Linked DNA regions of Canis lupus familiaris. The main gene of each other region encodes a partner of the protein of the gene in region 2 in a complex. Links are inferred from orthologs where the notes say so. Each region holds a gene or a part of one and is shown on either strand. Other genes may lie near its edges.

Evidence for each region. The genes of interacting proteins can lie anywhere in the genome.
Region 1: the proteins of RAB7A (region 2) and RILP are in contact, whole or in part, in a crystal structure (PDB 1YHN), measured with the Homo sapiens proteins. The link is inferred for Canis lupus familiaris from reciprocal best matches to the Homo sapiens genes RAB7A and RILP. Residues at the interface, in NP_004628.4 of Homo sapiens: Ser3, Lys6, Leu8, Ile41, Gly42, Ala43, Asp44, Phe45, Leu46, Thr47, Thr58, Trp62, Ser72, Leu73, Val75, Leu182, Tyr183, Asn184, Glu185; in NP_113618.2 of Homo sapiens: Phe248, Glu249, Leu252, Gln253, Arg255, Asn256, Lys259, Ala260, Phe263, Leu264, Glu267, Glu268, Tyr271, Arg274, Glu275.

What each region holds. Positions count from the first base shown.
Region 1 is NC_049230.1:45,740,707-45,744,450, forward strand, and holds the start of RILP (rab-interacting lysosomal protein), read right to left. Parts: upstream 2,615-3,744; 5' UTR 2,344-2,614; coding exon 2,116-2,343; intron 2,042-2,115; coding exon 1,948-2,041; intron 1,865-1,947; coding exon 1,758-1,864; intron 1,658-1,757; coding exon 1,424-1,657; intron 950-1,423; coding exon 804-949; intron 433-803; coding exon 310-432; intron 1-309. Other genes in the region: PRPF8 (pre-mRNA-processing-splicing factor 8), read right to left, coding at 3,531-3,685. UniProt on the Homo sapiens protein: Rab effector playing a role in late endocytic transport to degradative compartments. Involved in the regulation of lysosomal morphology and distribution.
Region 2 is NC_049241.1:2,782,087-2,785,830, reverse strand, and holds the start of RAB7A (ras-related protein Rab-7a), read right to left. Parts: upstream 2,519-3,744; 5' UTR 2,510-2,518; coding exon 2,457-2,509; intron 771-2,456; coding exon 644-770; intron 1-643.

The DNA of each region.
Region 1 (3,744 bases), on a different chromosome or scaffold from region 2:
TGCAGGTTGGACAGCAGGCTCGGGGGGGGGGGGGGGGTGACCAGGCCAGAGTGGCAGGCTCAGGGAGTGACCAGGCCAGAGTGGTAGGCTCAGCAGGACAGGCTGGACAGCAGGTGCAGGGGTGACCAGGCCAGGTAAGCAGGTTTAAGAAGGGACTAGGCTAGGTGACAGGCTCAGGAATTTATGAAGCTAAGGTGGTAGGCCCAAGGGGTGATTAAGATGGGTTAGAGCATGACCAGGCTGAAGCATTAGGCTCAGCGGAAAGAGTGAGAAGGGGTTGGCTCAGTGGGAATGGAGGCAGGGACTTACCTGCTCTCTGCTTCCTCTGGGATCCCTAACATCTTGGCCTTGATCTTCTTCCGCTGCTTCTTGACAGCCACCTTCATGGCTTCAAGGAGAAGCCCAGGGACCCGGTGATCTGTGAGTAGCTCCCTACCCGAGGAGGAAAAGAGGCAGAGTAAGCAGCAGGAATGCCAGCAGTAGGTTTCATCCCAAGTACCTGTGCCTGACATTCTCCTTTTCTGAAATGTTCTGCCTTGCTGACATCCCTCAGACTTAGCTTAGGTGATGCCCCTAGGAATCTTTCACAGCTGCTGTGTTTTTTACTACCTCCTACCCCATTTGGAAGAAGTTCCAGGAAGGCAGGGGCTGTGTGACTCATGTCTTCCCAGTGTCCAGCACAGCACCTGCCATATATCATGATGGGTAGATCAGTGAACTAAGGAACGGAGCTGGTGATGTGAGGCCCAGGACAAGTGTGAGTGGAGCCCCTGAGCTTCCCAGCCCCTGCCTACCGCCCTCACCGCTGGAAGTAGGCCAACTCCTCCTTCAGCAGGAACACGTTGGCTTTGAGCTCATTCCGCTCCTGAAGGATCTGCTCGAGCTCCTCTCGACTGAAGCTGCACTGTCCTGCCTCGGAAGGGCGCCCTGGCTGCTGCAGGGCAGCCGCCTGCAGAGGGACAGGCTGGGTCAGAGGGGTGCCTCTGCCGGCGCCCCCCTTTCCCCGGGCCATCACAGGAATGCTAGAGGGAGCGACTGGCCGGGAGACTTGGGGAGGTAAGGGAGCTGCGACAGATGACGACAGCCCGGTGCTCTGGCCAGCGTGGGAGCAGGGACCGGCTGGAGACGCGCACTCGTGTGCCACCTACCAACTTCTTTTTTTTTTTTTTTTAAGATTTATTTATTTATGATATTATGATAGAGACACAGGAGGAGGGAGAAGCAGGCTCCATGCCGGGAGCCCGACGTGGGACTCGATCCCGGGACTCCAGGATCGCGCCCTGGGCCAAAGGCAGGCGCTAAACCGCTGAGCCACCCAGGGATCCCCCACCTACCAACTTCCTGATGGACCCGCTAGGCAGGACGACAAACCCAGCCCGAGTGCCCAAGTGCCAGACCTGTGAGGACTGCCATGGGCACTCACCTGGTCCTCAGGGGTCCCCGGAGCTCCAGCGTCGGCGGTTGCCCGCTCGGACCTCCGCCTCTGTGCGTCCCCGGCCCCCCCGGCACGGTCCCGCGCCGGCTCCACCGCCCCCTGGTGCGGTAGCTCCCGCTCTCCCTCGCGGTCCCTCGCGGAGCGCAGCTGGGTCTGCACCGCTGCCAGCTTGTGGCGCAGCTCCGCGTTCACCAGCAGGAGGCGCTGCAGCTGCTCCTGCAGCTGGGGGCGGAGTCAAAGAGGAGGTAGGCGGGGCGTCGGTGGGCCGGGTGGAGAGCCCCGCTCACGCCCATCGCCCCGCCCCGCCCCGCCCCGCCCTCACCGCCTCGGTCTCCTGGCTGCGTTGGAGCAGATCTCGGTTGTGCGCCCGGAGCTCGTCCCGCTGGCGGTCGGTCACCTCCTTGAGCTGCCTCAGGAGAGCCCGCTCCTCTGAGGAAGGGGCGTTCTTAGCAGCGGCCTGGGGAGGAGGCCCGGAGCCGCCCGCCCCGCCCCCTGGCGGTGCCCGCACTCACCCTGTGGGCCGGAGCGCAGCTCTCTGCGGAGGCGCTCGTTCTCCTCCCGCAGCCGCCGCAGCTCCACTTCGGCCTGCTGCGCTGACACCTGCAGCTGGGGAGTCCAGGCTGTGAGGGCGAGGCTCCCGCCAGCCCTGCGGGTGGCCAGGGGAAAGGGCGGCGACTCACTGAGTCTGGGTCCGGCCCTACGGCGGCCTTTTCCAGGAGCTCCAGCGCCCGCACCACCAGCGGCACCAGCCCGGCCGCCGCCTCCGGCCCGAAGCGGCGCGCCAGCTCCTTCAGCTCCGTGCCCAGGGCCCCCGCTAGATGGTACACGAGCTCCGCCGCCGTCCCTGACCCCGCGGCCACCCGAGGCCCGCAGCTGTGCACCCCAGGTACCGCCTTCCTGGGCTCCATGTCCCCAGAAAGTTAAAGGCCACGCCAACCTCCCTACCCCCACCCACAGCCCTAATTGGGGCAGGAAAAAGCCAAACAGTTCCGGCCCAGGAAGCAGTTTCGGGCAGTGGGGGGCGGGGAAGAAGCGACAGAGGAGGAGCAATGAAGAAAAAAGGTAAAGGCTTGAAGGCGGTTGTGCACTGGGCCCCCTGGGCTCTGTCCTGTTTGAGCCCCAAGGTCACAGGAAGCAAGGCTGCCGACTTCCAGCCAGGCGTCCAAGAGGTTGAGGTTCACGGCTCTAAGTGGTCACTTTTGTCAATCCCTCCCCACAGCGCGCAATCCAGGCTCCACCCCTGTCTCTGGAGTCATGAGGCCCAACTTGGCTGCCAAACACCACAGGCAAGAGGTGAGAGGTAGGAGGGCTGTCAGGCCTCTGCCAGGGACAGCCATCTGTCCAGCCAAGTGCCTGTTTTCCCAACCACCAGTGACACAAAGCCTAAGGGGCTATGCTGGGCACCACAGCTGTCGGGAAAAATTCACAAGCTTCTAGACTCAGAAAATGGCAGCAACTGCTCCAAAGGAGGCTGAAAAGAGTGATAGTTTGCAAATATTTTTAAGGGAAGTAGGCAGACGTGGTCAAGGCAGTAAGGGTGTTAAAACCCAACCCCACCTCTATTCCTTGAATCTACAAGTTTCTTGATCCACAGCCCCCGAGTAGGGAGGGGCCTCATGCCACTTTAAGACCGAGGCCACAGCCTCGGTGGCACAGGGGTTTAACACGGCTGCCTGCAGCCCAGGGTGTGATCCTCAAGACCTGGGATCGAGTCCCATGTCAGGCTTCCTGCATGGAGCCTGCCTCTCCCTCTGCCTGTGTCTCTCTCTATTGCTCATGAATAAAAAAAAATAAAAAATAAATTTTTTTTTAAAAAAGACCAAGGCCAGCATCTTGCTGTGAACAAGGCCAGCCTCCTGCCATCCCTACACCCAGAATTTGAGCTCAGGAGGAAAAAAACAACCTCAAAAACTCCTATTTATACAAAATTTATTATTACATTTTGCTCAGGACTACATGCCACGAGAGATCAATTACAAGAAGCACAAACAGGGAGAAAAGGAACCAAGCTGCTGAATGTCACCAGCTTCTTTTTGGGGTTTTGTAAAAGGCTCCAGTCTTGGGGAGTGTGAAGAAGGGGGAGGTGAGGAAACAACTAGGCATAGAGGTCTTCTCGGTCCGCAGAGTAGACCTCACCCTCTTGCAAGAGAGCGAAGTTGAGGAAGTGGGAAGGTCTGTGCACCTCGTGGTAGAACTCTTTAGGATTTGCCAGCTGCAGCTCATACTTCATGTTGGGATCATGCCGGACACCTAGGGTTAGAAGAAAGGGCCAGTGTTAAGCAGATGCACCTGCCTCACCCAGCCTGGGC
Region 2 (3,744 bases):
ACAGATTAAAAGTCAGAAAAACAGGGAAACTACATTAACAGCTACTATAAGAATCTAGGAGAGACCCAAAGATATTCTGACCTAAAATACTATGTGGCGATTTTTGTTTTTAAGATTTTATTTCTTTATTCATGAGACATGGGCGGGGGGGGGAGCACCCAGAGACACAGACAGAGAGAGAGGCAGGCTCCCCAAGGGGAGCCTGATTCGAGACTTGATCCCAGACCCCGGGATCATGCTCTGAGCCAAAGTCAGACGCTCAACTGCTGAGCCACCCAGGCGTCCCCCATGTGGGGATATTAAGAGAAAGGAATGAGTTAAACATTTTGGAGACAAAAGTTTGGGCCTGTATGTTATCAAATTCAGCAAAAACAAAAAACACAAACCAAACCAACAAAAAACCAGGAACTCCAATTAAATTTGAACTTTGGAAAACCAATGAAAAATTTCTAGTATGTCTCATGCAATGCCTGGGTCATACCTGATGTCCTGTATTTGTATCTGGCCATCCTACCTGCGACCAATTATCCATGAATATAGTAGTGGGAAATGAGGAATGGGGTGGGAAAATGCCTAGGCATGAACAAAAGAGTTCAGACTGAATGAACAAGGCTTGGGTGACAAAGTTGAGATGTGTGCTTACCTGCATTGTAACTAGTCTGTCATCCACCATCACCTCCTTTGTCAGAAAGTCTGCTCCTATTGTAGCTTTGTACTGATTACTGAATTTCTTGTTCACATACTGGTTCATGAGTGATGTCTTACCAACTCTGAAATTGGAGAAAAACCACAAGTATAGGTCAAGTTAGAAGGGGCAGAAAAATGATTCTGATATTTGCAGCTCTGAAGATACTTGCCAGCTTAAAGGATAACAAGCAACTGTAATCACAACAGAGGATAGTGCCAGCAAACTGCTCAGTGTTACTCATTCGAGGTTTTATTTTCTCCTGGAACAAAAGTACAGGGCTATAGATGTGGATCAGATGTTGAAAAGCTGCTCTTAAGTTTTGGTACAAGTAACTCAGATGGTAGAACTTAGTATTATTTTTTTCCTTCCAGAAAGATGTCAGCAAATACTCTCTTTCTAAAAGAAGCTACAGCAATAAGATCCTGCCACCATTCTAAAAATATCTCTGCTGTCCTGGGTGTCTCTCCATTTAGGGGCTGATATTCAGTCCAAGAAAGTAATAGCAGGAGAAAGTCACTGGCTATGAGCAGACATATATGCCAGTCAGCCACCTGCTACTTCAAAGATTAAAATCTGAAGTGAGGAAAGCATCAATATTCCCACCAAATCAGAATCTACCTCAGAGTAAGCTCCTCCAGGGAAGTTTTTCAGTAAGAAAACTCAGTAAGAGACAATGTGTGGATTTTTTTTGGTGATGAGATTAGTTAGGGCAGGCTGAAGATAACATAAAAGTCTTCTTCCAAGTCAACAGGATCACCTTCCTTTCCCTCTAAGGAACATATTCATCTTCATAGGCAGAGGACCTGGAAGTAAGTTATGGCTTAAGGCAGTGTTCTCCAATCCAGGTCACCTGGGTCTGAATTTTCAGGGGAGAGGTCAGGAGGTCTCTAATCAAATAAAGGCCCGGTGATTTTTCCCATGCAAGTTTGGGCCTAAAACAGTACCTTTCATTCCTGACAGCACAGTGGTCACCAGGAAGGAGGGAGGAGGGAGACAGAGAGATATATGTATTTAAGTACTGCCAATGAGGCCCAACACAATGGTCTGGAAAAATGCTTACTTTTGAAAAGCTCCTCAGGGCAATCAGAAAAGCCAGACAGGGTAGAAAAATCACTGCCTTCTTAAAGGGCAGGGAACTTTCGTGTAAGGAGGCACACCTGGATTTATCATCATCATCATCATCATCATCATCATCATTTAAAAAAAATACATAGCTTCTAGTTGGTCTAAGGTTTCCAGGTCACATCAGATGCTGAGTCTGAAAAGCCTCCCACAGAATCGTTAACAGCTACTGAAGAGTTAGTCACTTAATTAGTGGCAGATCTAGGATCAGAACCCAGTTTTCCAGTCGCAGGTTCTTTCAGATACACCCCAAATCAGACCCAGTAGTGGGAAGATACTGCACAGCTGTATCCAGACTCCAAACCCACAACTGGTAGGCATGAGGTCAGTGGCAACAAATCTACACATGAACAGAACTCCCTTGTCTAATCAGCTCAGAAAAAAGAGATTCCAGTGAAACCGTTCTTGAGTTTAAATGGCTACTCCTTCCCCTAAATCATGCCAAAGACCAGGGAACCAAGGATTACAGACTAAGAGATCATTAAAATTTCTGCTGTGCTTAAAAAAAAAAAATCTGCTGTGCTGGAAATGGCAAGAGACCTAGAACCCTACTGCCACTACTATTAGAGAAGTGGCAAATGTGAGCAGGGAGGGCATGGCTTCAAAGTCACATTTAATCCAAACCAATCTGTTACTTCAAACTTACCCAGAATCTCCCAGGATGATAACCTTCAGCAACACTTTCTTCCTAGAGGTCATCCTTCAAACTAAAAGGAGAAAGGAGAAAGTACTTGTGAGCGTGACAGAAATACCCAGGCAAACCTCATCCCTCTGTACAAGCATCAACACAGCCCCAGGAGCACTAAGCCTTCCCATTTAGCTATTTCCCTGCCACCCAGGGGGACCAGACAGAAAGCAGAATCAATCTTAGAACTTTGGACACAAGCTGGGCAAAATCATGAGAGGCAGGGTCATCCTGCCCCTTGGAGCAGTCTAAAAGGATGGATTCTCCCTCTCAGATGTTGCTGGATCACTGTGGATTAATGTTCAATTTAACAACTAGGCCCTGCTTCATTCAAGTCTCTGCTCACATAGCACTTCCTCAGAGACATGATCACTTTATCTAAAGTGGCACACCCTCTCCCCATCTGCTCTCTAACCCTTTACATTGCCTTACTTTTTTTCTTCAGAGCACTTACCACTACTTGACATCCAAATCTATTAATTTGTTTTCTCCCTTCTCCAACAACTTCCACCAAGACAGTTTTATTCCCCACTGCATCTCCAGTGCCAAGTAGAGAACAATTATCAAATATTGGGGTTGGGGGATCCCTGGGGGCACAGCGGTTTGGCGCCTGCCTTTGGCCCAGGGCACGATCCTGGAGACCCGGGATCGAATCCCACATCGGGCTCCCGGTGCATGGAGCCTGCTTCTCCCTCTGCCTGTGTCTCTGCCTCTCTCTCTCTCTCTATCATAAAAAAAAAAAAAAAAAAAAAAATTAAAAAAAAATTGGGGTTGGTGTGAGAACAATACTTGTTGACCTGCAGCTCTTGAGATCACCCTTTTCTAGAAAACCTTTCAGGGCAGCCCAGGTGGCTCAGTGGTTTAGGGCTGCCTTCAGCCCGGGGCCTGATCCTGGAGATGGGGGATCGAGTCCCACATTGGGCTCTCTGCATGGAGCTTGCTTCTCCCTCTGCCTGTGTTTCTGCCTCGCTCTCTGTGTGTGCCTCTCATGAATAAATAAAAAAAAATCAAAAAAAAAAGAAAGAAAGAAAGAAAAGAAAAGAAAAGAAAAGAAAAGAAAAGAAAAGAAAAGAAAAGAAAAGAAAGAACCTTTCAGGCAGCCTGGCTAGACAATATGTAAGATGCCTCATTTTTGCTTATCTCTATTCCAGAAATCTGCCCCTATTTACTTACTAAGGCAGGGTTCCTGTCTTAATTATCCCTTGGTCTCCTGAACCTGATTCTGAGTTTCAGAAAAGCAGGAGTCCTA